Notamacropus eugenii: one gene and its partners. The protein of the gene in region 4 purifies or fractionates together with the protein of the main gene of each other region. This does not show direct contact. Links are inferred from orthologs where the notes say so. Each region holds a gene or a part of one and is shown on either strand. Other genes may lie near its edges.

Region 1 (6,938 bases), on a different chromosome or scaffold from region 4:
GACATATAGGAATGCTGATGATTTACATGGATTTACTTTAGAACTTGTTACTTTGCCAAAATTGTTCATTGTTTCAATTACTTCTTTAGTTGAGTCTTTGGGATTTGACATGATAGTTTCTAATTGCTATAAAAACAAACCCATAATGTTTCAAACATGCACATATATGTTATCACAAAGGAAAAAATATATTTGCAACACAACTGGGCAATTACTAACTGCTTAAGGTGATATTAAAGATTTTGTTTTACACCTGGGACCATCATCACAAACCACTAAATGGGAAATAGGAACTACTAGACTAGATGACTTTAAGGCAACACCATTTCCATAGTAGAAGCTAGATAAAAGTTTACTTTTATCTTTACTTTTACTTTACTATCCCTCTGATCTTAAATTAATAGGATCATAGGATTAAGAGCTAGAAAAACCTTTGTAATTATCTGATCACATCTTGAACTAGATATTCCTTAAACACCCTAAACTCATCATGTAAAACGAAGGTTTTATTTTTTATTTTTTTATTATTTTATTTGTTTTCAGTGTTCTACAATCACTTCCATATATCTTAGATTTTTCCCCTCCCTCCCTTCTCCTCCTATCAGGTTTTATTTTTTTTTAATGAATTTTTATTATTTTTTTTGTTTTGCCCAATAGCTAGATATCTCCCAAGGCTCTAAACTGAGTCCTCTTCTCTCTACACTATTTCTCTTAAAGATCTCATCAGCTCCCATAGATTCAATTGTCTCTATGCAGATGATTCTTAGATTTACTTATGCAGCCCTAAGCGCTGTCCTGACTTCTAGTCTCTCATTTCTACAGTGTGTTTGTCCTTCATTGTCGGAGACCATGCCATCAGAGAAATGATTTCTCTGCCTGTTGGACATCTAGATGTCCTGTAGATAACTTAAACTCAACATGTCTAAAAATGAACTTGTTGCCTTTTTTCTAAAACCTTCCCCTTTTCCTAACTTTCCTATTTCTATAAATTACTGTTACTACCCTATTACTTTAAAGTTTACTGCTACTACCATCTTCCCAATCACTCCAGCTCACAAACAACCTAGGTGTTATTGTTACTCCTCTCTCTCTCTCTCTCTCTCTCTCTCTCTCTCTCTCTCTCTCTCTCTCTCTCCCTCCCTCTCTCCCTCTCTCCCTCTCTCCCTCTCTCCCTCTCTCCCTCTCTCCCTCTCTCTCTCATTCTATATTCAATCTGTTGCCAACTCCTATTTTTACTGATTTTACCTTTATGGTCTCTTGTATATCCCCTTCTGTCCTCTGACACTGACACTGATGAGGTGCTTGTGCTTGGACCCCAAATTCAAGATCACATTTCTCCCTAGTTTCAAAACACTATCCCTGACAGTTTTCTTGAGTGGGCCCACCTAAGACAAACTACCTTTCCCCTCAATTACTCATGGGTGGGCCCCAGTAAGACAAACTATCTTTCCCCATTACAAGAACAAGCTGACCTCTGAAGAAATTCCCTTGTAAAAACAGGACTCTCTTGTAACCACAGAATTATCATGTATTGATTCCCACAGTTATCATATACAATCCAGAGATCAAGCTATAGACATCAACTCTCAAAGCTATCTTGCCACAGACACAATAGACCAAAAATACACCTCCTAGAAACTCCTTCCTCTAGTATCCAGTAATGAATGACTCCTGTGACCAAGGTTGTATGTTATCACTTTCTGCCAGATAATCCACTACTTTTCCTAAATAAGCTTTAGCTCACTCCTGTTAAGTTGCGGAGTTAGTTCCTTAAGGAGCTCTGCCTACCATATTGGCATTACAATAAACCTTTGTCAACTTGACTTAAAGAATGCTTGAGTCCATGAATTCATTCTAGATGACCCTTTCGGGTACTTCAGTCCTTGAGGGGTCCCTGAACCTCTAAAACCCACATTAGCACCACCCTGGTGAAAACCCTCATTACCTCATGCCTGAACTATTGCAGTGCCCTGCTGGTTGGTCTCCCTGCCTCACTTTTCATCCTCCATTCAACTTCCAAAGAAAACTTCCTGAAGAACAATTCTGATCATACCCCTCCTCCCTCCATACACACATATACATCCAATTTAATAAATTCCCGCGCTTCCCTATCACCTCCAAGATCAAATATAAAATCTTCTGTTTGGCTCTTAAACCCCTTGATAACCTGGCCTCTTCCTGTTTTTCTAGTTTTCTTTCATCATACTCCTCTCCATATATTCTGTGATCCATTGACACTGGCTTCCTTACTGTTCCTCTCATAAAACTCAGTCATTTTCACTGATTGTGTCCAGGTCTGGAACTCTCTTTGTCCTAGTCTCCACCTCCGGGCTTCCTTCAAGCTTCACCTAAAACCCCACCATTTGCATGAAGCCCTCCTTGATCTAATACTTTCCCTCTGGTATCATCTACAACTTATCCAGCGTTTCTTATTTGCATATGCTGTACATTGTCTCTACCTTTAAATTGAGCTGCTTGAGGGCTCAAGCAGAGATTGTCTTTTACCTTCCTTTGTATCTCAGGCACTTAACACAATGCCTGGCACACGTTGTTAGTCATGCCCAACTCTTAGTGAGCCTGCGGACCATAACGCAACAATGCCACACATTCCTGGCAAGGATACTGGAGTGGTTTGCCATGTTATCCTCTAGTGGACTAAGGCAAACAGAGGATAACTGCCCAGGGTCACACGACTACTAAGTTTCCAAGTGCAGATCTGAACCCAGGCCCTCCTGACTCCAACGCCCAGCCTGAGGTCCTTGATAAAGAACTGTTTGTTGACTCAACGCTGACAGTTAAGTGGCAGAGCCAGATTCTGACTTGGGTGCTGAGAGCCAAAGCCGGGGTTGACTCCACTACATTATGAGGTCCCTCTGGACTCCACATTTTATTCAAAACCTCTAGAGTGTGGAAACGCAGGCCCAGAGCTGGCTTTTGTCCTACAAGTGGCTTTCTGCCTGCCCTTGGCCAAAGGGCCCAGGCCTCCTCCAGCTCAGGCATTCCTTGGGCTTGTTTTCTGGGGGTCTCCAGGGACTCCCCCACTTTGTTAGAACTTTGTCTTTATCCAAAGCATGGCTGAGTACTTCTTCAGCTGCCAGGCTGCTGGGGGCAGGGGAGAAGGCTCCTCCCTGTGGGCTCCAAGGCCCACATGCTTCTGACAGCAGAGCCAGTGACCAAAGCAAGAGATGCCCCCACCCCTCATCTTTACAGCCATCTTATGGTCATCCAAGAGCAAAACATCCTCGGGCCAATGTGGAAATTAAACTTCTAGGCTGCCAGGGAGGCGTAGAGAGAAAAAAGAGAAATCCAAGCTAGCGGCCACGAGGAACTACAACTCCCAGAATGCAGCGTCAGTTCCGCCGGACTGGGCGGTTCCTTTGGCTAGCTTGCGTGGCATGCTGGGAGCCGCCGCTTCCACACATTGGATCTCATTCTCCTTCTCCTTGTTCGCCCTTCCCCCACCCCTACTTCCGCTTCTCGACTTTGGCCCCGCCTCCTCTAGAGAGGCTTAGTGACGGAGCGGGTCTCCGACAGTCTCCCCTCCTTGAATTTTTATTGGTTAAGCTCGGCTGCCGTTCAGGGGGTGGAACGGAGGTCCCGTTTTCTGATTGGTGGCTTGGGTTTGGCGCCAACTAGGAAAGGTGGGCGGGGCAGCAGCGGTACTCTGCGAGCGGCTCCTGCGACACCCCCGGGCAGCTGGGCAGGAGGTCCGCCGGGGGCTGCCGCGGTCCCGCTCCCCGCTCTCCGCCGCCGCCGCCGCCGCCGCGTCTGGGCCGATCGGGCCCGCGCCCCCGGCCCGAGGTCCGCCGGCCCTGCGCCCGCCCGGCTTGTTTGGGTTTAACCCTCGGCTTGGCGCGGCCCCGGAACCCCCGGCGTGGGCATCGCTCGCGGCCTGCCCTCGGGCCGTGTTTGTGTTTGACCGCGGGCCGGGCCCGCGCTCCGGGAGGCGGTGGGGGCGGCGCGGCGCGGGGCGAGGAGAGAAGAGAGGCGGCGCCGCCGCCGCTGCTCCGGATGGAGCTGGGCCCGGAGCCCCCGCACCGCCGCCGCCTCCACTTCGCCTGCGGCTCTCCGCCCGCCGTGGTCAAGGCCCTGTTCCCCGCCGGCCCCGGGGGGCTGTCCCCGGTCACCAACCTGGCGGTCACCATGGACCAGCTGCGGGGCCTGGGCAGGTGAGAGAGGCGGGGCGGCCTGGGCCCTCCCGGAGCCCCCCCGGCCCCGTCATTCCTGGGCAGCGCCCCCGGGGAGTGACCTTGGCCAAGTCACTGCCCCTCCTGGGTCTCGCTGGGCCGGCTCATCGCCCAGTCCGGGCTCCGAACCTATGCGGCACATACGTTCTGCCCCGTCGCACCTGCCCTCCTGCTCCTCATAACCACCCCTCCCTACAATGGGCTGATTTCCAGCCTCCTGTCCTTTACCCCACCTTCCTTCCCTCTTCCTTCTCCCCGCAGTGTGCACCATACTTCAGACTCCACAGTCCCCCCAACAACGTCCATTCTTCTCCAACCCCCCATCCTGCTCCCCTTTCCTTCACTCCACTGCCCCCTCCAGCCTTCCCCATCACCACCGCCTCCTCGTTCCGGCTCCTTCTCACCGCCTCCCTCATACCTCCATCTCCGCCAGCTCTCGGCTCCCCCAGCTTTCCCATGCTCTAAAGCCTCCCCACCCCTCTCTCTACAGGCCTTGAGCAGGGTCTCCAGGGGGAGCCTTCCGTTTCCGTCTTTTAGGCACATGGCTAAGTTAGCCACAGCACCTTGCCTGTGGCCCAGGCTCGGCCCCTGGCCTCCATGTTGCCAGGGGCCTGGGTGGTTCCGCAGCGCCCCAGTAGGTCTGAGAGATGCTTGGGAGGAGGCTGAACAGAAGGCTTGTCCCTCCTTAGCCACACCACCCTCTTGCTTCCTTGCCTTGGACTCCTTTCAGTTTCTGGAATACTAGTTTCCATTGTAACCTTGTTCTGAATTTCCCTCAAATAAGCATGCAACCCCACAAGAGTAAGGAGGTACTCCTTCTGGAGGTGGAGGGCCGGGGGCCTGGGTGGCATTAAGAGCTTTGAATCCCACCGGGCCTTAGGTGCTGTGCTGGAGAGGAGTTGTGGTTGCGGGAGGTGGTCCTTGTGGGACAGCAGGTAGGGCCAAAAAGCTGTTAAATAGCTTGATGTTTTCCCTCTGTCTCACGGTGACTCATAGTCCGTGGAGAAGAGGAGTTGTTCTTATCAGATTCCAAAACTGCATGTAAAGAATGGTTTGGTTTTGTGTGCAGTGAATGTGAGCATCAGCTGGAAACAAAGAAGAGCGGCAGCCTGCAGCGGACAAGCTCCTCAGAGTCTACAGATTCAGGTATTCTTTCATTCTACGCATAACAGATATTTGTTGTATGTGCCCACTGTGCTGGGGGAGGCCTTGGGAAGGAGACGAGATACAACAAGCCCCTCTTTTTCATGAAGCTTCTAATTTAATACAGGAGGCACATGTACATAAGTAATTGAAAGGTAAGACAGTATGTGATAAGTGCCATAGAAATAGTATAATATGAATTATTGCAGTGTCTGAAAACAGGTTAATTTTCAGTAGGAATAAATGGAGATTGGAGTAGAGTGACCCTCCAGACAAAGGGAATGAATGGTGTAATCAGAGGCTTGTTGAATGTTAAAGGAAGGTAGGAAAGGACAAGACAGGTCCTGGGAATAGTAAGTGGTTCATTTGGTTGAAGTGGGGGGGTATGTAGAAGAGTACCTGGAGGAAAGTTTGATTCTCTTCAGATTTCCAGTGTGCATGGTTATCTCTTACCACTTGGAAGGAGAAGAGGGAAGTGAAAAATGGTTTGAGGGTAAGTAGTATGCAGATTCCATTGTGACTGAATGCCCAGAAAATAAAAGTTGCCTGGGGGCTGGTGAGTCCAGGCTACTCCGAGGTTGGTATATAAATTATATTAAACCTCTAAGATCTTCTGTCTTTGGGGAGCAAGAATTCCTTGTTAGGTGCCATTTTCTTAAACATAAGTCAGAAACCTACCAGATCTCTTCGCAGTGGCTCTAATTTGTATTTGTTCCTGTTACCCATGGATAAATTGATCTGAATTAGAGATTGGTGCCTTTTGACCAGATGCAGTCTACTTGCAGCAGGGCTGATCAAGTACTTGCCATCTGAGAGGGAGATGACATGGATATTAACCATAAACCAGATAATCCCTACCTGAATACTCAGAAGATGGTTTAACAATTCATCTAGCCTACTTTTCCCTTAAGTCTTATTTCACTGATGGTAACTCCAGAGCAGAGGGAAGCATTATGTCTCCTTCAAAGGCAGCTAGATTGGTAAAGTAAATAGAGCTCTGGACCTGGGGTCAGGAAGACCTGAATTCAAGTCTGACCTCAGATGACCTTGAACAAGTCACTTAACCTCTGTCTGCCTCAGTATCTTATTTGTAAAATGGAGGTGATAATAATAGCACTTACCTCCCAGGGTTGTGGGATAACATGCCCTATATGAACACTAGCTTTTATGTCAGAATCCATGTAAAGTGCCGCCACACACCCCACTCCATACACACATACAACCTGAACCAATCTGGAGTCCGTCACTGTAGGCTGATTGCCTCAAAAAACAGATACTGAGTCTCAGGTAATTACAAACCATGTTCACCCTGAAGTTCCTGGGGTAGCCCACTGGCTTCTTAAAAGTTTGAAATGATTTCAAATGAGATGTTTAGAGTTAATAATAAAAGAAATTAAGCTATAAAAACAATTTACAAAACCTCTGGATCACAATGGCCGTGTAGTAAAGACTTTTTTTGTGCCCCAATAGGTTTTTGTCTGGATTCTCCTGGGCCCCTGGATAGAAAAGAAAAGTATGTATTTGCTTCTTTTAATTTTTTTTTTTAAATACCAAATGAGAATATTATTAGAATCCTGATTGACTAGGAATCTGGACTAAGATGTCCCA
Region 2 (6,884 bases), on a different chromosome or scaffold from region 4:
AAGTTTTCATGACTTCATACCCCTTCTGCTTCTCTTGGTTTCTCACCCAGTTCCCAAGAATGGCTTTGACTCATGGCTTCTGCTGGATCTGCCCAGAAGAGGAACTAGTTATCTGTTCCCATTCTCAAATTAGCAGCTTTGATGACCTAAGTTATCTCAACAGACACCCTCTGCTGGCCCTACCACCCCTACTCTTCCACCATCAGTCTCTACTGCCAGGGATAAATACATGAACACTGAGCTCCTCTGAGATTTCATACCTACTACACATATAGGTGTACATACACTCCACACTAGCAAAATAACTCTACTCTCCTTTCCCTAAACATGGCCTAAAACTTCTTGCTTTTTATGCATGTGCTGTTTACTCTTACTTGAAGTATCATTTCCTCTACCTTCGACCTGGCCACCATGCAAGACCTAACGCAAATTCTACCTCCTCAAACGTTTTACTGGTGGAAATGATATTAAAGAGCCATTACCATCTGCTTTGCTACTGCACCCTAAGGACCACGGACTTTTTCATTCAATTAGCAGTTAAAACCTTCCATGTGTCTTCCCCATCAGAATGTGAGCTTCTTTAGAGTAGAAGTTTGATTATTCTGTCTGTATCCCAGCCATAACACAGTGCTTTACATGCTTTATTCATTCAGTCCACATCACCCAAACCAGAAGTAATTTCTCCTTTCTCTAAGCTTCTATAGCACTATACAGTTTTCTGATTATGCTTGATTATTTTCTTGATTAATTTGTGTCATCTTATTTCCCCTACTAGACTTTAATTTCCATGAAGATAGAAATGTATTTCATTGTATCCCCCACAGCATATACCATAGGGTCTTACACATTATAAAAATTCAGTAAAATAATTTTAAATTAAGACTGTCCTTATTGATCGCTCCTCCTAATAACAACTACTAGCCTCCATATATTTGATTAGAGCCATTGGCTCTCCTACGGATTCATGCTCATGGCATGTCCCCCAGCCTGGAGCAAGGACATCCCCCCAGGTACTTGGAGGAGAACCACATCTTACCGGTAACGAAGTAAGTTTGTTGCAGGAGAGATCCAGTACTGTGGCCTTTGGAAGAGCAGCCTAGGAAAAGAGCAGAGGAGAAAGGTAAAATCCATATTTGGTCAGAGGTTATTATACTTGGTGACATCTGTTTGCTAATGGAATATCTTCTAAAGTAGAGGAGTCGGAATAGATTAAAAAGCACAAAACAAGAATGAAATGATGACAGGGTTCAAAAAATAGAGCAAAAACTGAGGCCAGCCATCAGTTACTTATGAAAGTATAGAAAGAACAAAGTGTGGCCACAGGGCATGTAGCAAAGGAAAATTTGGATACTAGAATAGTACTTAGGGCTTCAGAGCAATACTAGATCCATCTTAAAAAGTCTTCAGAACCACCCCTTCTGACTAGAGCAGGGTTGCTTTATTTTTGTTTTTTTGGTTTTTTTTTTTAACTTTTTTTGGCCCACACCTTTGGCGATCAGATGAAGCCTATGGACCATTTCTCAGAATAAAGTTGTTTTTTTCTGTTTTCCAAAATTCAAAATGGAAGGAAACACTAAATTTCCATGAAAGGTTAGTGAATATATTTTTTCCATCCAAGTTTATGACCCCCCCCCCCAAATATATCTAACTGCCATTAAGAATTCCTGTCCAATATGCCTTGCTAAACACAGGAAACCCAACTCCATTTGGTTTTGAGTTGAAAGAATTTGAGAATAAGACCAGAGATAAGACAGGAACCAAAAAACTGCAGCTGGAAGGGACTCTGGGGGCATCATTTATTTAGTCTTGATCCACTCAGTCTACAGATGAGGAAAATGACGTCCAGAAATGGAAAGTGACTTGCCCAAGATCATAATGTTAACAAGTGGTAGGGCCAAGAGTTGAACCCCGGTGTTTTAGGTCGAATACTCCTTCCCCAATGTGTGCATCCTAACCTTTGGGCACGCCACTGCCCCTCTTGGGGTTTCAAACTCCTCCTCTGTAAAAATGAATAGCCTGATCCCCAAGGTCTCTGGCTGTCCTAACATTCTAGGGTTCAATCCACTTTCCACATGTTCGAGACGGACCCACCAGTTCAGCCCAACTTTTCCAGCACAAGCAATGGCTCTGGGCGACTTCGAGCAGCTGGGATTGCAGAATTCCCAATTGTCACCAATCCTCAGCCACACCCAGGTCTCCAGGAAGGCCTACTCCTCCAGGCCTAAGAAAGAGACAGCAGGCGCCCCGCTTCTCTTACGCCTCGGATCGGCTGAACCTGAGGTCAGCGCCGGACACTATCTTCGCGTCTCGGCCCCTCATTTCACAGAGAAGGAAACTGAGGCCCGGGGGTGGGGGAAGGGGCATCGCCTAAGACGCCGGGATGGGCCTGGAAGCGGGGCCTCCGCGGCCCCGGCTAGTAGCGGGGCTCCATTCCCCCCCAGAATGACACGTGTCCAGTCCAGGGCCCCGGTTCCCAGACCCTGCTCCCCCTCGGGCCCAGGACGGCGCCCACACTGACCAGCTCCTTGACCGGCACCTCGGTGAGGTCGCCCAGGCTCAGGTCCAGCTCGTTGCCGTCCAGCTTGTCGCGCAGGCTGGCCCCCTTGCCTCCGCTCTTGGCCATGGCTCCGGGAGATGTGGGGAGTGGAGGGGGGCGCGCGAGGGCTCGGCAGGGGGAGGGGGCGGCTTCCGGCGGCGGGCACGCGCCCGGGCACTCCGCAAGGTTCCGCGCGACGGCCGTTTAACGGCCAGGGATCCGTTTGGCGATAACAGCCTCAGAAGCCTGAGGCCCGGACCCCCGCCACGTTCCTGCCCTTCCGACCTCCTCGTACCCGCGGGCCTGGCGCTGCCCCCGCTACCCTCCGTCCAGGATTCCGCGGCCAGTTGCGGTACTCCGCGATCCAGTTCCCGCCTCCGTCACTGCGGCCGCCAGCCACTTCCGTGTCCACGTCTTCCCTCCGGGAGACACCGAGGCGCCTCGGGTGGAGGGGGGCTAGAGAGGCTAGCGCATGCGCGAGTGAGCGCGATGCCGCCCCCTAGTGCTGCGGAGGCTCCCGCGGTGCGCGTGGAAAAACAGTCTGCGCTCTAAGCAAGAGGGTTGGAGGTTGTGCACGCGAACGTATTAGACCCTGAACCGTGTAGTCAATGAGTCAGCATTTATTAAGCGCCTTCTGTGTGCCAGGCACTGTAGTAGGCACTGGGGATAAAAGTACAAAAATGGAACTGTCCCTGTTCTCCAGGTATTTCAGGAAAGAGACTGTATAACGTCTACAGATACAGATAGAAATCCACATGCACACACATACACAATACATACGTGAATATACACGTACACAGATCCACTATTTGTATACATAGCTTCACACCATATACACAGTATTTAACTCTGCATGTACACAATTTACATCAGATCCACTGTATAGACTGTATATATCCATACACACACATATGTATGTGTCACAGGTAACATACAGGAGGCACTGGAGGTCTTTGGAATCCAGCTTCTAACAGGTTTACTCTGGATCTGGTCAGACAGGCAGACAGCTTCAGAGGGGTTACTAATCAGCTTTATCCTAGTCTAGTCTTCTCCTAAAGGTTGATGATAATGGGAGAACCAGCTCCTGCAGCATTCCCCAATCACCCTTCTCCAAGAGGTCTGCAAGAAGAGGGGGCAACTAGCCCTACCTCTCCATGGCATAAATTGAGAAAGGCACAGTTTGTGCATTCCTCTAAATCTCCTCAAACTTCAATGGGAGCTGGTTGAGGAAGGTATTCCTACCTCATTCCTCTATGCATTACCAGTGGTTCGGCCCCCCCCCCCCCCCACTCACTGATCAGTGCCCAGTTGCTTTATACGGCAACAAAGAAGGCATCTTGCCAGCATTAAGCTCACAGGTTAACCAGCAATATCGTCATTCTGCGCAAGCATAGTAAATATTATATTATGTCACTCCTTACCCCACCGCACAGCCTCGGTGGGACTGTCACTGTGATTCTGGGAATGGCTATCTTAAATCATTGGAATTATTCTGGGAATTATTGTCAAACACCTGGAAACTAGACATTGCCATGCCCATGGATCCTGAGAAACTGAACTCTAAAAAAGATAACAAAATCCTTCTTACATACAATGTATGCATGTATATAGTAGATCTGAGGCATCATTGATTAGGCAACTTGATGATTCAGCATATAGATAGGCTTGGACTCAGAAAAATCTGATCTGAAGTTCAAATTTGACCTTTGATACTTACCAGCTGTGGGACCTTGGACAAGTCACTTAATCTCTGTCTCCTTCAGTTTGCTCTTCTACAAAATGGGAATAATAATAGCACCTACACCCCCCCCCAGGGTGTTTGTGAGGATTAAATGATAAAATATTTGTAAAGCATCCCAGCACAGAATATACTAAATAAATGCTTATTCCCTTCCCATTCCCCTCCTCTAAAATGAAATATTTGTAGAGCACTTTGCAAACCTTCAAATGCCATATAAATGTAAGCTATTATTAATTATTGTTGTTGGAAACTCTCTACTAATACTGATCCTCACCTTTTTATGGGGTGGCTCAGAGAACTAAGAGGTTAGGTGACTTGTCTAGGGTCACACAGAAAGTGTCCAATGGATCTCTTGGACCCAGTTTCTTCAGTCAGATCTTTATCCACTTGACAGCACCTTGTGAGATGCATACACAATCCAAATCATCGCTCTTTGAAACGTTTTTCTCTGATTCAAAAGATACCATTCTCATTTTGTTTCACACAGATGAATAAATAATCACCACCACCTCTGAAGGTTGTGTAATATGATTATTCCTGTTTTAGAAATGAGCAAACTGCCCTGCCCTGCTTCTTCCAAATTTCCCTATTTCTGACGAAGGCACCATCAGTCTTCCAATGTGCCAAGTTCAAAACCCCTATGTCATCTAGCTGCTGCTGTTGTAAGGAATTCTGCAAGGCTGAATCATGAACAAAATCAGAGACTATCTGGAAGGTGGAGGTGAGGAGGAAGTAGTTCTGGTCACGCAGGTCAGCTGGTGCCAAGGCAACAGAGATTAAAGATGGAGTGGCCAGTGTGAGGAAGAGCAAAAAGGTAAGTTTATCTGGAGAACAGAAGTCATGGACAAGAGACTGAAAAGATAGGCCCAGCTTGCAAAGGGTCAAACAGAATAGCATGCATGTTATTGTAAAGACAATAGGAAGCCACTGGATTTCACCGAGGAGGGAGATAATATGATCAGATCCACACTTAAGAAAATCTCTTTTGGTTGCTAGGTGGAAAATATATTTGGAAGCATTACAGTGCCTATTCTGGCCCACTGCCTGAAGACCAAGTGTGCTACATTTCATCTTTCCCCCCAGGGTTCTCTGGTACCCTTAAGTAGTTTGGGAAGTGTCTGGTCTTTCTGCCATTGGCTCAATCCCCCACCAATGAGGTTTTCCCAATTTTAGGGGGTGTTTGGCACTCCAGTTCCATTTAATCAGTTAATAGTTGGATTTGCTTTTAGGAAGGAGTGTTTGCTTTAAAAATATAGCAAGAACAAACATGGAAAACATTCTCTTCCTCCTCCCTCTCCCCAATACCACCTCAATCTCTAAAGAGAAGAAGGGGAGGAGGTTCACAACTTAGCTCATTTCCTATATAGCAGAGTCCCACCAAATTCCAAGTTCAAAGCATCCCTTGGGCTCAAGTCCCAGTCACCTGGCTTCTTCAGGGCTTCTCTGCTAAGTTAGCAATAACATCTAGCTTGGAATCTTATCCTCCAGGATCACTGTGGCTCAAGTCCAGATCTGGAGACTCCACTTCTTGTACCTAGAACTGAAAAGAACAAATGAAACAGAATAAAGCCCTTCATGGGAAAAGGAGGGTGGTTCTTACCCCCACCCCGGCCCGCAGCTCCGTGCTGAGGATGTATAGCACCTCTCTGCCTTATACAGTGCCAGAAAGGGAAAAGAGAGAAGAAAAGAAGGAGGGAGGAAGGGGAAGGAGAGAAAGAGAGACAGATCAGGGGTAGGAAGGAGAGAGAGGGAGGGAGAAAATGGGGGAAAGAGACAGAGAAAGACAGAGGCAGAGAGAACACATCCTCTTCCTTTTAAAGATACAGCCTGTGGAAACACACTGTTCCCATCCATATAGTAGGGGAATTAATTATTTCTTCTCCCAGAAGCAGGTCCCTGGTATCTTTCATGTGGTGCCTCCTAGTTAGGTGATCTTGGACAACACAAAATAGTCTTATTGCAGAAGAGAGAGGCTTGAGGTGGGGAGACCAGATGTTGTTGTGTTTGTCCTTTGTTTTCAAAGAAGACCATACCATCAGAGAAATGATACCACCAGATGAACAAAGAGATATGCATTTTAGGTACATGGCTCCAGTGTGGATTCCTTTTTGCTTGATTATTTTTAGTTGTTACAAAGTACTCTCCTCCGACTCTTGTTTATTTTTTTTTCTCCTAGTTAGGGATTGGGGAGGGGAGGTTAAAAATATTAGTTAAAAAAATACTCATTGAAAAATTTTTTAATTACAAAAAAGAGAACAGAAAGAACTTCAGAAGGAAGCAAAGCCATATGGGACAGTTTTGAAAGCAGTAGTAGTAGTATAGTGGTGGTGGTGGTAGTAGTAGGAGTAGCGGTGGTGGTGGTAGGAGGAGTAGTTATAGTAGCTGCTAGCATTTATATTGTGCTTTCAAGTTTGCAAAATGCTTTACAACTATTATTTTAGCCTCACAACCACCCTGGGAGGTGGGTGCTATCATTACCTCCATTGCCTTCCATGAGAAAAAGGAAGCAGACAGCAGTCAAATGACTTGTTCAGGGTCACATGGCTAGTAAGTATCTGTGTTAAAACTGTATATTGTTCTGGTTCCCTGCACTCCCATATCCTTTCT
Region 3 (7,743 bases), on a different chromosome or scaffold from region 4:
TCAGGCAGTGACTCGGAAGAAGGATAACCGCTTTGCTGTGGCCTTGGATTCAGAACAAAACAACATTCACGTCAAGGACATTGTGAAGGTCATCGATGGTCCCCATTCGGTAAGGATGGAGGTGGTGCACTGGCAAGGGAAGTGGAGTTTGGGCTGAGCTGGTGGGGAAGGGAGAAAGCTTGAGGGGCAAGAGTAGAACCCTAGAGGCATATTCACTCTGTCTTTCTCCTTAGGGCAGAGAAGGAGAGATCAGGCATCTGTACCGAGGATTTGCATTTCTCCACTGCAAGAAGCTGGTGGAAAATGGGGGCATGTTTGTCTGCAAGACCCGAAACTTGGTGCTGGCTGGGGGCTCCAAAGTAGGTCAGGTTGGGGGCCAGCTGGTTGCAGGGGGGTGGGGGCAGGGGACCATCTTTGAGAAGTAATTATAAAAACCCCCATTTCATAGAATTCTCCAAAGTGTGCAGAGCCTGTGACCTGGGGGAGAGGGGGAGGAAGGCAGGGGTGGGGCATCCTCTCTCCTCACTGCTTACTGCCCTCTCATTTTTCTCTCCCAGCCTCGAGATGTCACAAACTTCACCGTGGGTGGCTTTGCCCCAATGAGCCCTCGAATCAGCAGCCCCATGCACCCTAGTGCTGGAGGTGAGCAGGGAGGTGGGGAGGGATGGAAATCTGGGAAGCCCTGGCTTGGGGAAGAGACTCAGACCAAACAGAACCTGGGAAAGGGGCCTGGGACCAGGACAGGGTGATGGCTGAAGAGAGGCGAGTCAGGAAGGAGGTTACTGGGGATCTCCCACACTTTTGACCTCTCCCTTCCTGCCATTATGATCTTATAGGTCAGCGGGGAGGATTTGGGAGTGCTGGTGCTGGTGGCATGAGCCGTGGCCGGGGCCGTAGAGATAATGACCTTATTGGGCAGACTGTTCGCATCTCTCAGGGTCCATATAAAGGTGAGTCTGGGCTGGTGTTGAGGAGGAATGGATAATGTAGGGCTCTTGAAGATGCTGAGCGTGGATGGCCCCCAACCCTTCCTGTGCCTTCTTTGCCCAGGCTATATTGGGGTGGTGAAGGATGCCACTGAGTCCACAGCCCGAGTGGAGCTTCACTCGACCTGCCAGACCATTTCTGTGGATCGCCTGCGGCTCACCACAGTGTTAGTAGAAGGGGAAGGTGTTTTGGGGCTGGGAGGAATCCATTGTGCCTCACCGTCCCCTTTGTCCATACACTATCTGTCTTTTCTTCTCACTCTGCCCTCCCGTGTTTCCCTGCAGTGGCACCAGACGTCCAGGGGGCATGACTTCAGCCTATGGACGTACTCCGATGTATGGCTCTCAGACACCAATGTATGTCCAAGGCTCCCGTACTCCCATGTACAGTTCACAGACGCCTCTGCATGATGGTGAGTCTCCTCATCCTGGGGCTATCCAAGGGCTGAGGAATAGTGTGTGAGGAAAAGGAAAGAATGTGTGTGTGTGTCGGTTTGTGTGCGTGTGTACACACGCACATATTCTTCTGGGAGTCGGTGATGAGGACAGCCCTTCAGGCTGATGCAGACTAAGCGGCTGGGATCCCATGGCCCTGTCTTCCTCTTGTGCAGGCAGCCGCACTCCACACTATGGTTCCCAGACTCCCCTTCATGATGGCAGCCGTACACCAGCCCAGAGTGGTGCCTGGGACCCCAACAACCCCAACACACCATCCAGGTAAGGACAGGGCCATGTCAGGGGACTTGGTCATGGGGAGGGTCTGAGATGGCTCTGCAGTGGGGGTGAGTATTTTCCCTCACCAGCCATCTTGTTTTCTCCTCCCATGCAGGGCAGAGGAAGAGTATGAGTATGCCTTTGATGATGAGCCTACCCCATCCCCACAAGCCTATGGTGGGACCCCCAACCCCCAGACACCAGGCTATCCTGATCCCTCATCGCCACAGGTCAATGCACAGTACAACCCCCAGACTCCTGGAACCCCTGCCATGTAAGTGCTGATGGGGCCGCCCCCCTTGGCTGCTTTTCCAAATCTCCAGGTTTTCCTCCACTCCATGGCCTTGAATCACTTCTCTAAGGTGCCTTCCCCTCCCTGACTTGTCTCCAGGGGACTCTTCTCCCTAGACTCATCGAGGTGTAAGGCAGGGGTGTTGGTCTCCCATGGGCCCAAACCAGATTAAAGTGTCATTAAGAAACGTTTAAGAACGTAAATGAAAATGCAAGAAGACATAGGTAACTTAGGTTACAGTTTAGAGTCAGTCAGTGTGGGGCTGTAGGAATCCTCAAGCATGGAATTTGAGTGGGAAACCCCTGATGTGAGGGAGCTTAGAGATCAGTCCCATCCCTCAGGCCAAGCTGCTGCCCACCCCCTTCCTGCCCTCCCTGGAAGCATCCCTTGCCCTGTTCTGACCCTTCATGGCCTTGGACCGAGGTGGGAGCTGTGGGTTCCTTCTGTCCCTATACTCCCTGGCCTCTCCCTCAGGTACAACACGGACCAGTTTTCACCCTATGCGGCCCCCTCGCCACAAGGTTCCTACCAGCCCAGCCCCCAGAGTTACCACCAGGTGGCGCCGAGTCCTGCTGGCTACCAGAACACCCACTCCCCAGCCAGCTACCACCCCACACCCTCGCCCATGGCTTACCAGGTGCTGAGCAGAGACCTTGGGGAGACTAGGGCTGGGTGGGCTGAGAGGGCTGAGAACATGACCATGTGGTCGGGGCTTAGCACACAGGTGCTTAAAAAGTGTTTAGTGAATGGGATGATCACCATAACTGACCCTTCTTTCCTTTTTAACCCTAGGCTAGTCCTAGCCCTAGTCCAGTGGGCTATAGTCCAATGACCCCTGGGGCACCATCCCCAGGTGGCTACAACCCTCATACACCAGGCTCTGGTATTGAGCAGAACTCCAGTGACTGGGTGACCACAGACATCCAGGTGAAGGTTCGAGACACCTACTTGGACAGCCAGGTGGTTGGGCAGACAGGCGTCATCCGAAGTGTTACGGTATGTAGGGGAGATGCACAGAAGGGCCTGAGGTGAACTAACCCCAGCTCTTCACCTGATGAGGCAGGGAAGGGCTTTGTCTTCTTTTTCTGGGCAGCAGCTGGTGGGAGGTGAGGAGGTTGGCTCTCTGGTGCTAGGCCTGGGGGCCTGGACACCTGGGGCTTTGGTGGGGGTGGAAATCAGATGGCTTGAAGTAAGCCTGGTGACTGGTGCTGAGTGCTTGAGTTGGAGTGGCTTTAGGGTCCTGGTATGGGGACTGATTATCCCTATCCCCTAGGGGGGTATGTGCTCTGTGTATTTGAAGGACAGTGAGAAGGTGGTCAGCATCTCCAGTGAGCATCTTGAGCCCATCACTCCTACCAAGAGCAACAAGGTGAGGGGGTCTAGGGGGTGCTTGGAGAGGGTGGCGTGAGAGGGCAGAACTGCTGGGGTAGCAGCTGGGGTCGGAAGAAAGCACTTCGGCTCTCCTCTCCAAAGGGGGGTCCCTCTTGCCCTAGCACCTCGCTGAAGGTGGGATCCAGCCTCTTCTTCTCTTGTCCAGGTGAAGGTGATCCTAGGGGAGGACCGGGAGGCCACAGGGGACCTGCTGAGCATCGATGGGGAGGATGGCATTGTGCGGATGGACCTGGACGAGCAGCTCAAGATCCTCAATCTCCGGTTTCTAGGGAAGCTCTTGGAAGCCTAGAAGGAGAGGTGGAGGGGCCTCCTCACCCACCCCCACCCCACCCCATCCCCACGATTCTCCCCAGGCAGGGAGCTGGGAGAACTTGGCTGGTCTATTTTTGTTGGTTGCTTTTTGAAGATTCTCTAACCACCTGCAGGGCTGTCCACGGAGACGTTTCCCAGCTCTAGCCCACCCCAACCAGCTTGCTTTGTCTGTGATCTTTGAATAAAAGATTGTTTGATCAGTGGTGTCCTTCTCAGCTGTGAAGGGATCCTGAGGTGGGGACTGGGCTGGGGGGAGACAGGTTCTGACCAAGCCAGCAGAGGGGGAAAGTCAGACGGCTGAGCGCCTCCCGCCCTCGCCCTCTGCTCTGCTTCCCCAGACAGACGGAGCGCGCTGGGCACCTGGCAGGCTCCCCTGGCTCCCCTGGGGTCCGGGATCCTGCGCGCTCCTTGGGGCCAAGCAGCAGGGGGCCCCCCCTTTCCGGACCCTCGCCTGAAATGCTCCCAGTGACCGCCCTGACCATGGGTCTCTCGGTGGTCAAGTCCCCAGGCCTTTGCTCTCTGTGGGGCGGCCTCCCTTCCCCCTAGGGTTCCAACTGGGCACCCCTCCATCTCCAAGTCATGCCTTCTGACCATGGGTGACCCCAGGGCTGCCCTGCACCCTCCGGCTTCCCTCGGGATCTCAGCCCCCGGGGATTGGGATCATTCACCCAAAGCTGCGCGGTCTGCCCCGCTCCATCCACCCCAGGACCCCCCAAGCCCTCCACTATCCTACCCCCTGCTGAGGCGCGGGAGGGCTGAGAGCACGTGTGTCGGCTGGCTTCGGCCGCAAGAAGCTTTTTTGACCCTCTCTGGGCCCCGTCATGACCGGCGCTTGACTTCTAGACGCTCAGGTGTTTGGGGGTGGGCGAAGAGATGCCGAAATTGGGGGGAGGGGAGAAATGCAGAAGACAACCTCCTCTCGTTGGCTGAGGTCTCAGCTCTCGCCGAAGTCCATTGGCTGTTCTTGAAAGGGGCGGGAAAAACAGTAACTTTGTTTCTTCATTGGCTAGAAGCGCGAGCCCCGCTCCGTGCACTCATTGGTCGGGCCCCGTGGGAGAGGGCCGAACGGGGCGGGGCTCGGCGGCGGCGGCGGTAGCGTCCGAGCAAGATGGCGGCCTCTGTGGCGACTGTGGCGCTGCCCTCACGCCTGCAGGGCTGGCACTGGCTGCGACTGCGGTTGCGGCTGCGGCCCCAGCTCGGGCTCGTACCCTTGCCCAGGTCCTTATGCGCGCGGATGGCAACTCCGCCGCGCGGCCCAGGACAGGTGAGCAGTGCGCGTGCGCGCGGGGAGCGGACGGGGAGGGGGTCTGGGGGGCTGCGGAGGGAGGAGGAGGTGTGACGCGAGCCCACGTTGGGTGGTGGGTTCTCCAGGTTCTAAATTCAGCCCCCCCCCCTTGGTCTTGCACCCTTGTGTGGCGGGCTCCCACGTGGAACCCGGGACCTAGTTGCTAGCCCCGCCCCCAGGCACCCCACGTCCGGTTACCCAGAGCCCCCTTCCCCAGTGTCCCTGGTGTCCCGATCCCCAGGCTCCCTCCCCCTCCCCCAGTGTCCCTGGTGTCCCGATCCCCAGGCTCCCTCCCCCTCCCCCAGTGTCCCTGGTGTCCCGATCCCCAGGCTCCCTCCCCCTCCCCCAGTGTCCCTGGTGTCCCGATCCCCAGGCTCCCTCCCCCTCCCCCAGTGTCCCTGGTGTCCCGATCCCCAGGCTCCCTCCCCCTCCCCCAGTGTCCCTGGTGTCCCGATCCCCAGGCTCCCTCCCCCTCCCCCAGTGTCCCAGGTGTCCCGATCCCCAGGCTCCCTCCCCCTCCCCCAGTGTCCCAGGTGTCCCGATCCCCAGGCTCCCTCCCCCTCCCCCAGTGTCCCTGGTGTCCCGATCCCCAGGCTCCCTCCCTCTCCCTCAGTGTTCCAATCCCCAGGCTCCCTCCCCTTCCCCCAGTGTCCCTGGTGTCCTGATCCCCAGGCTCCCTCCCCTTCCCCCAGTGTCCCTGGTGTCCTGATCTCCAGGCTCCCTTCTACTCCCCACAGGGGCCCCAGGCCCATCTGGATCCCTTGCTTCTTGCTACCATCAAAGCCACATATTCCCACATCCCCAGCCCCTGGAACCTCCAGGGACTCAAACGTCCCCCTGCCCCTTCACGACAGGACCCAGGTCTCTGCTTCTGTCCCTGGGACCACCCAGGCGACCTTTGCTCCCAAACGCACACTTTCTTCCAGACTTCCATTATCTGGGTCCCCCATTCCTAACGTCCTTTAGAGTCCCCAGTGCCTGGACCCAGCCCTCTGACCCCCCCAGGCCCAGCGCCTCAGGAGCTCAGCTCCCAGGGCTCCAGAGACAAATCCTCAACTCAGCAGCAGCAGCTTGTGGGGAAACGTGGTCTTTCTGTACCAGTGGATGTGGCAGAGAGAAATAGGTGGGGGGTGGGGCATCAGGGAGAAGATCCAGAAGAAGGCAATTAAACAGGCTAGGGAGTCTTTGGAGGAGATGAGAATGGAATGCATGACAAGCACAGCCTAGGCAAAGGCTTGGAGGCTGGAGACTGAAGAGCAGCCAGATTGCTGAAACTGTAGCTTGTTATGGGGGAAGGATGTATAATCCTGGAGAGGTTCTGGGAGCCAGGCTGTGAAGGGTATTAAGTATTCCTTCCAGTCTTGTTCTGGGGTGCCAGAGGAAGCCTGGATTGGGGAGAGAAGGGTTGCAGTGATCCAGGTGAGGGGTGAGAGGGGCACAAATGAGCTCTGGCCACCCCCACACCCGGCCGCCTACCCTTCAGGGGCCAGGCATCTGGCTTTTGATGGGACTCTGAGACCTGTGGCCATTGGCAGGTATTGGTGGTGAGCCTGGCCACATGCTGGCCTCAGTTACCTCGTCTGTAAAATGAGGGTCTAGTAATCCCTCTAGAACAGGTAGCAGCACAGGGGTGTGATGCTCCAGTGAACTAATGTCTCTGAAGACTTGTCATCATTCCTGAATGTCAGTTGACGCTGTTGTTGTGTTAGGGGCTGCTAGGGAGCACCGTGGTGCACAGATCCCAGACCTGGGCTTGCAGGAGTTGAAATCCAGCCTCAGATGCTTAACCACTTCTTGCCTCGGTTTCCTCATCTGTAAAATCGGGATAATAACAGCACGTCTCCCCAGGGTTGTTTGAAAATCAAAGAAGACACTTGTAAAATGCCCAGCACTGGGCTTGGCACATAATTATGCTCTGCAAGTGTTGACCACTTAAGTACTTAGTAGGGTGCTCAGCACACAGTAGGCATTTAGTCAATGCTTATTTCTGCCTTTATTTTTACAATTTTTGTTATGCAGTTCTTTGGTTTTTACAACATCTCCTGTATAAGTATATCTCTACCCCCCTACCCCTTGACTTATCCTTGGAAAGGGAGAACAAACAGAAAAAGGAAAGGGAGCAGTTTGCACCAAAGTCACACCCTCCTGGTGGCACCCCTGGGTGCCTGTCCTTCTCTGGCATGGGTCATCCGTGAAGCTTGGGGTTATTTGGTTATTTCTGTGGTGGGTGTGTCCTCTCGACTTCCTTAGTCACAGGAGCCCCCTGGTCTGGGCCAGGGCCAGGCCCTAGGAAAGGCTGATATGGGGCAGGGAGGGAGCACCTTCTGCTATGCCTTCCACACTCTGTGTTTGTTGCCAGTTCTTTGTTTTTACCTAAGGTGACCCTTGGCATGTGGGGGGGGGTGGAGCTTTCCTTGTCATCAGTGACCTCTTTGTAGTAGGGGCCTGGCACTGCCACCTTTGGGTCACAGGGCATGGTCTCTAGGTATGTTTTATAAGCTTCTTTTCCAATTTGCTTTTTGGATTGGGTGTTGTGGTTACCCACCCTGGGGTCCAACTGGATTGGTGACTGAGTTTGAATCCTGGCCCTGCCATGCCCCATCTGTGACCTTGGGCAAGTGAGCCTCTTGGTCTGCCAGTATCTGGTCCCCTTGGCACTTCCCAGTCTGGGACTATGGAGCCTGCCACCTCCAGGCCACATGTGGCCTTCTAGCTCCTCAAGGGTGGCCCTTTGACTGAATTCAAACTGGGACTCAGAGACC
Region 4 (7,132 bases):
TCCTTCCAAATGCACTGGAGCAATTCAGTTTTTAAATCTGAAGACTTTTGCTTTGAAGATTTTCACTCCTATGAACAGAACTTTTGTAAGTCTATTTAAAACATTTTAATGTTTAAGCTTCTCAGTTATACCCTTTCCACACTTCCAATGACTGACAAATTAATCTACCATCTTTCAATAACAATCATTAGGATAAGAAATTTAAGTCCGCACTAAGGTATACAATGATGTTTAGCTAAAGACCTACTCCCAAGGTGTCTATAATACTGTTAAATGAAATCCACCTCAAGCAGTTTTTCTGCCATTAAATGATACATTACCAAAGTAAAATACTATGAGGCCATATAATTGCAAATCACACATAAAACTTAATCACACATAAAAATTATTCTGCTTAATTTCTTAATTTCTGCAGAAACAGCTTGTAATATTAACTGCATAGAATAGAGCTTTTTAAAAAATTTAAACAATCTATGATTCTATTTCATAAAGAGTAAAATTAAACCAAATTGAATTATTTCACTAGAACACAGATACTGAGTTGAGAGTTACAGGGGATAAAGATTAACAAAATTTTGCCTTCAAGAAACATAACTCCAGAAAGCTTTCAGATTCAAAGAAGCTTCAAGGAAAACAACTTAGGAGTGAAAATTCAATCTTTATATTTACCCTAATATTTAATACTCCAGATTTCATACTTTGTTTTAAACTACAAAAGCAATCAACTTCTGATATGAGTCTGAGGTTTCAATTATGAACCCAAATATTGTTGTTCTCCAGTGACCCAGTCCCTCCTAACCCTGAGTTATATTAAACCACACCCAGTAAACTTTTTTTTGGTGAATTTCGCAAAGATCTTCTATTTTAAATGTTAATTTGAGAGAATGCTCCGAGGTAGTGAAACATAAAATAGTTCCCTCCTGGAAAACACAAACATGTCTCCACTAACTGACAATGATAAACCCCTGTGTACCTAATTAGACAAGTTCTAAACAAAAACAGTAACAAGTCTATTCTCCCCTAGTATTAGCCTTCAAATGAAACAATTGTTTCCATTTCAAAACAACCCGACTAGCATTAGAGATATTAAATATCAGCCTCTGACTTAATTGTATATGCATTACATACCAAAACAGTATGACTTAGAAATTACTGTAATAAAGGAACATTGTCACCACAGTCAATACAAGAGCATTAGTGCTGTTCTAACAAACTTGTGGATATGAAAACCTTTTGTGTGTAAAAATGATTTTAATTAGAAAACGAATGCATTTCAAGGTTAAGAAAAAATTCAATTGCACACTTAACCTTGGATACGGCCACTATAACTCACTCAGACGTCATGGAATCACCTTTCTGATGTCATGGTCCTTCGTGAACCAAGGGCAAACAACATGGGTACTGTTATTGTTGTTAAGTGTGTGTTTCCAGGTGGGGGAGTTAACTGTCTTTTTCCAAGTTCTCTACCGTCCACAATCCTCAGATTTCATCTTGCATGTTTAGATGCTGCCCAACCGTTTCCAACATATACTAACATACACAACTAGAACACTAAAAATTAGTCTGAACTACATTTTACAATCTACCCTTTTGTTTTTAAGGCAACCTATAAAAAACAAGGCCTAAGAGAACATTACTCATTACTGCCTAAGTACAGAATACACAACCTGAAATCCCACGTAACCAAGTAACAAGGAAGAAACAACTAATATTGTTTTGCTATGATAAAAACCGCCATTTCAAAAGTTTACCAGTTTCAGCATGGAGAGCACAAAAGAAATCTGGTTCTCAAACAGAAAAGATAATTCTCATTTAAAGGGACAAACACTAAAATAAACTAATTTCCATAGGACCCCAGTCTATGTTTACCATACGCCGGGACTGCCCTATGCAGCTGGTCATACACCCAAGAATCTGCCCGTGTCCTGCTAACATTATGTCCACAAAAGGAAACTGACCAAGTGATGTATGAAATAAACGAGAAGGAATGGAGAAAGAATCTCTTCACGAAGAACGCAAAGCTTAGCTCACACTCCAGGACCAATGTTTCCCAAGCCTTTTGCAAATGAGTTTCTTACAACACCGCCTTCGCTTTAGAATAGCATTAATTTACTTACTTTCAGCAAAGTCAGCCCCAGTTCCTTTCTCCAAAAACTACCAAGCCCTCGATCCATTTTCACCAGGCAAAAGCATCCTCTTCAGCGCAAAAGAACACAGGTTCTCTTAACTATTCCACTCGCCCGACCACACGCACACAAGGAGAACTCAGGATTTTCTCCTCCTCCCCATTTTCACCCACCCGGCCCCCCCCCCAAATAAAAAACCCTGGGGAGAGAGGGGGGGACAGGACTGCTGAAGGGAGAGGCGCCGCCAGGAGCCCAGGGTCTCTCCCCGTCTCCAGCTGCACCGCAAAGGTCCCATTGCTCCTGACACCGACTTCGCTCTGGGAAGCCTTCCTCAGTGTTTACCAAAACTCGGGGCTGCCAGGCTGGCCTCGCACCCCGAGCCTCAGCGTCTGCCGACTCGCAGATGTCACTTCCCCGATCGCCTTCCCGGCCTCCACAGGGAGGAGGCGTCGGGGGTCCCTTCTACGCTCCAGATCTACGATGGCCCCCATCCCAGGGCCTCCGTTTCCTCATCGGGACGTAAGGGGGGAGGGTTTCTGGCATCTCTACATCTATGAACCACCCCCACTCCCGGCCTCAGTTTCCTCATCTGTGACGGGAAGGGCTCAGGGCCCTTTCCGGCGCTGCCCGGCCGAGGCTCGGCGGGCTGTGCCCGTCTCCCTTGGCCCGCGTTCCCCGGAAGGGCCGCGGCCTCCTCAGGCGAGGAGCCGCGCCGGGCCGGAGGCCCCGCTCTCGCCTGCCGGGCTGAGCCGGCTCGGCAGCCTACCTGCGGGGCCGGTGCGCGCCGCGTGCGTCCCGTCTCGCCCCGTCCCGTGCGTGCCCGCGGCCCGGGCCGAGGCGGCAGCGGCGGCGCGTCGAGTGCGCCCAGCGCCCAGGCCCGATCAGCGGCGGCGCGTCCCCAGCCCGGGGGAGGGGGCCCCGGGCGGCCCCCGCATCGTCCCCGGGCAGGGGCCCGCCCGCCGGCCGCCGCAGAGTCGAGGGCCCGGGCCGCCCGCCGCCGCCGTCCCGGCCCGGCCGAGCCCGTGGAGGGGCGCTCTCTGCCCGCCGCGGCGCCCACGCTCGCGCTCTCGCTCCGGCGCCCGCTCGCGCTCGCTTCCTCACTGCTGGCGGCGGCTCGCTGCCTCCATCTAAAATGGCGGCCTCAGCGTCCGCGACGAGGAGGCTCGGCGCTCCTCGGCCTAACCTGCGGCGCCTCCCCCGCGCCGCCCCCACCTACCGCGGCCCCCGCCGCCGGCACGGCCCAGGCGCCCATTCATCGGCTCCGGTATCGTTCCCTCTTCCCTGGCTCAGGCCCCGCCCCTGGAGGCGGGGCCTCGGCGCGCCTGCGGCCGCCATTTCGAACTGCTAGCGAGCGGGCGGGCGAGCGGGCGGGCGAGCGGGCGAGCCCCGGGACCGAGGCCGGGAACCGGGGACCGGGGCGCCCCGAGGGCCGAGGCCGGCAGCTCCCGCGGAGAGGATGGACCGCTGCGGGCCACGACGCCGCGGGGGTCCCAGGCGAGCTCCCTCCCCCGTAGACGGCGCCCTTTTTACAGCTGGGGAAACTGAGGCTCCGGGAAGGGCCGGGGGGCCGCACAGCTCCACGCGGAAAGCTGCGTGACCGCCGCGGTGACCGCAGCCATGCCGCTCTGTGCACGGCCCCTCTGCCCCTCGCAGCGAAGCTCACTTCCCGGAGGAGCACCCTGAGGCAGACGGGATGCTGACGGGCAGCGTCTACGCCACCCTTCGAGGCTTGCAGAGCGCTTAGTAGGTCGCCCCGTTGGACCTCGGCTCCCGCAAGGGAGGTGCTGTTACCCCGACTTCTCCGGCAGGGCAGCAGTCCCGGACGGTGGTGATCGCCGGCGCGTGCGCAGCCCTGGCGCGGACGGGACGGTGTCGGAGGCAGGCTTTGGACTCGGGTCTTCTGACTCCAAGGTCATCCTGGGGACGCCCAGCGGCCTCGGGCCACGTGCAGAGCTGAAGGGCCCCCAGCCTTTTACCGGGGAGAGGACACGAGGGGATTGGCACCCAGACCCTCTGACGCCGAAGACCCCAGTGTTCGCCTGTCCTGGCATACAGGACGTGCCCCCCGCCAGCCAGCCTGGGTGCAGCCGCACGCGTGGCCGCCGGACTTGGGCTGACCAGCTTGCCAGGACGGTCTGTTCTGGTATTTCTCGTAGAATTTGTTCCTGGACGTTATGAAAGACTCCAAGAACCAGGACTGTAGGGCCGTGCTTTTTTTAAGCCTCCTTTGAAGTCAGAGGGCCTAGGTTCAGTTCTCAGCCTTGGGACTCCCTGCCCGTGGGACTCTGAAACACCTCCTGCCTCCCTGTGAAATGCAGACCTCGGGCCAGGTAGCCCCCGAGGCCGCTTCTGGCTCCAAGTCTGTGAGGCTCCTTAAGCAGCCAGGGACCCTAGTGTGTAGAGAGAACACTGGGCCTGAATTCAAGGGCACCCGAGCTCTTCTCCTGTATCGCCAGCTCATCTCACTACTCCACACCTCAGTTTCCCCATCCAGAAGATGGGATAATAATACCACCCACCTCAGAGTGTTGTGAAGATTCAGTGAAAAAATATGTTCAAAATCCTTTGCAAATATAGATGCTACTAAATAATTATGTCTTTCCCAAGCCTTTAAGGAGTTTACAGTTTGGAGAAACAAATGTGAAGCAGCAGCTTTATCTCTGGCACTTCCCTTAATCTTTTCCTTTTCCTTACTCCCTGCCCCCCATGCTGAGGAGGTGATTTCTTCCTACTTAAATTTATCATGAGACTCCCTGGACCTCTTTTTTGCAATTAGTCATTCTCTCTTACAGTCATTTTTGTCTTTACACCCACATTTGGTTGTAAGCTCCTCAGGAGCAGGTTCAGTGACTTAGCTGTCTTTGTATCCCCAACAATTAGGAGTTAGCCTTGGACAAACGTTAGTTTGTTGTAAACTAAGGCTGTAATTGGCCTAATGTAGTAAAGGGGGGCTTCAGGGCAAGGGTGTGTCTTGAAAGTGAATGAGAAGACTGTTATCTTAGAGCCCTGTGTCACTTAGAGATTGAGGATCAGACCCTTCCCACCAAGACTAGCTATATGCATCCTATTTCCCTTTTCTGAGATTCACAATCCTAATTACTGATTGATGAATTAAGGAGGATGATATCTGTATTACTTACCTCACAGAGTTGTGGTTCAGATCTCTATTGAATTCAGGATATATACAGAACTTTGTAAATCTTAAAGGCTTTATAAACTTCAGTTGTTTTCTTGGAGAGCAGTGGGCACAGATGTTTAAAGGATTCTTCTTCCCCCCTTAAACTGATCCCCGCCCAGTTTTTGTGTTTTTTCTTTCCTGCCCAAAGCACTTTGAAGTTTCCAGGAGAATTGCCACCTGAATAGAGGCTGGGGCTGCTGCCAGTCTTAAAAGATTATTAGACAACACAGCTTAACCAGGCAGAGCTCCATAGGAAACATTGGGGTCAGTTGTGTGTAGGTGTCTGTTGCCCCAGGTGTGGCCTTATCTATTTACTGGGTGCGCCAGTCTGTCCCCTCCCTCCAAACTCTCCTTATGGTGCTGCTTCTTTTAATTTCCCATTTTAAAATACATAGGATTCTGTTTTTTCAGCAAATCCCTTTCCCATGCCTCATCTGCGTGCCCTGTTTTCTTCTCACCACACTATTTCCTTAAATCCAGTTCTCTGCCCAGGATCAGAAAATTTCATGTTTGGAAAGATCACCTTGTCCTACCAGCACCTGAAGAAAGATCCAATACACTTGGGGCATCTAGGTGGTCCAGTGGATAGGGTGCTAGCCTTGGAGTCAGGAAGATCTGAGTTTAAATCTAGGCTTAGACCCTTACTATGGGTGTGACCTTGGGCAAGTCACTTAACCCTGTTTGCCTCAGTTTCCTCATTTGGAAAATGAGCTAGAAAAGGAAATGACAAACCAGTATCTTTCCCACAAAAACTCCACATGGGATCACAAAGAGTTGGACATGACTGAAATGACTCAAATACAAACACCTGACAAGGGTGTTTTTCCTTAGAGACCTCAAGTGATGACCCACTACCTTCCAAGACAAGCCATTCAACTCTTGGATAGTTCCAGTGTGCTAGGAAAGTTTTCCTTAGGTCAAGCCTAAATCTGCTGTTTGCTCTCACTGTTATCTCAGTTGTCAAACAGAACAAGTCAATCAGTTAAGTGCTTATTGTGTGCCAGCTACTGTGGAATAAAAGACAAAAATGCCCTGTCCTCACACATTCATATACCATATGAATTCAACTATTTTCCAATAAGTTTGATATGGTGACTTTCTCTGTGCATATTCAGCCCCCCAGGGTCAAGTTCAGAGGGAAGAACGGAATGGTGGAAATGACCCAGGGAGGATTAGAAGGGCAAACCAAGATCTTTGAAGTCACTGGCAAAGAAGGGGTCAGGACTGGCAAGTGACACTGGCGATGGACTCTGTTTATTGAATGATTAACTGATTGGAAATCAGGGTGAAGACAGAAATCAGATGGAATGAGAAGGAATGAGAGAGAAGTAAGAAAAATGGCATTGGAATTAAGGAATAGCTTTGGAGTTTGGCATCTTGGGAGGTAGCACAGTCCCAGATAGTAGTGAAGTTTAAGGTGTAACTGCATTGCTTTGTGAATAAAGCGGATTGAGGACAGAAGATTGTATCATCAGACTTGTGAAGAAAGTTAAACAATACTTACTCATAAGTGAGAGGACCATATGACAGCAATGGATTCTGTTTTAGGAAGAAAGATGACCAGAAGAGGCAGCAGGGTAGAGATATAGGGTTATGGGCGTAGACCTAGGAAGGACATCAGAGACCACATTGTATGATTTCTTTCATCCTCTACACTGACCCCATTTTTATAGATTAGTACGTTGAGGCCCAGGGAAGTTAAGTAACTTGTATAAAGTCACAAAGATCAGAGGTAGGATTTGAACCCAAGTCCTCTGACTCCGCAATTGCATCTTTCCACTGAAAGCCAAGGTTATAAGTGTGGCTCTGCAACTTGTATGACCTTATA

The links.
Region 1: the proteins of RAF1 (region 4) and CDC25A purify together in Homo sapiens (affinity purification with western blotting; 3 studies listed by BioGRID and IntAct, with this or other methods). This does not show direct contact. The link is inferred for Notamacropus eugenii from reciprocal best matches to the Homo sapiens genes RAF1 and CDC25A.
Region 2: the proteins of RAF1 (region 4) and LRRC59 purify together in Homo sapiens (affinity purification with mass spectrometry; 3 studies listed by BioGRID and IntAct, with this or other methods). This does not show direct contact. The link is inferred for Notamacropus eugenii from reciprocal best matches to the Homo sapiens genes RAF1 and LRRC59.
Region 3: the proteins of RAF1 (region 4) and TIMM50 purify together in Homo sapiens (affinity purification with mass spectrometry; 4 studies listed by BioGRID and IntAct, with this or other methods). This does not show direct contact. The link is inferred for Notamacropus eugenii from reciprocal best matches to the Homo sapiens genes RAF1 and TIMM50.

What each region holds. Positions count from the first base shown.
Region 1 is NC_092872.1:13,383,133-13,390,070, reverse strand, and holds the start of CDC25A (M-phase inducer phosphatase 1), read left to right. Parts: upstream 1-3,936; 5' UTR 3,937-4,011; coding exon 4,012-4,169; intron 4,170-5,256; coding exon 5,257-5,333; intron 5,334-6,800; coding exon 6,801-6,843; intron 6,844-6,938. UniProt on the Homo sapiens protein: Tyrosine protein phosphatase which functions as a dosage-dependent inducer of mitotic progression. Directly dephosphorylates CDK1 and stimulates its kinase activity. Also dephosphorylates CDK2 in complex with cyclin-E, in vitro.
Region 2 is NC_092873.1:360,388,769-360,395,652, forward strand, and holds the start of LRRC59 (leucine-rich repeat-containing protein 59), read right to left. Parts: upstream 3,015-6,884; 5' UTR 2,624-3,014; coding exon 2,519-2,623; intron 1,097-2,518; coding exon 1,037-1,096; intron 1-1,036.
Region 3 is NC_092876.1:32,239,740-32,247,482, forward strand, and holds the start of TIMM50 (mitochondrial import inner membrane translocase subunit TIM50), read left to right. Parts: upstream 1-4,728; 5' UTR 4,729-4,804; coding exon 4,805-4,960; intron 4,961-7,743. Other genes in the region: SUPT5H (transcription elongation factor SPT5), read left to right, coding at 1-109, 234-359, 558-642, 837-950, 1,051-1,153, 1,272-1,399, 1,598-1,703, 1,816-1,974 and 4 more. UniProt on the Homo sapiens protein: Essential component of the TIM23 complex, a complex that mediates the translocation of transit peptide-containing proteins across the mitochondrial inner membrane. Has some phosphatase activity in vitro; however such activity may not be relevant in vivo.
Region 4 is NC_092874.1:432,306,429-432,313,560, reverse strand, and holds the start of RAF1 (RAF proto-oncogene serine/threonine-protein kinase), read right to left. Parts: upstream 3,022-7,132; 5' UTR 2,893-3,021; intron 1-2,892. UniProt on the Homo sapiens protein: Serine/threonine-protein kinase that acts as a regulatory link between the membrane-associated Ras GTPases and the MAPK/ERK cascade, and this critical regulatory link functions as a switch determining cell fate decisions including proliferation, differentiation, apoptosis, survival and oncogenic transformation.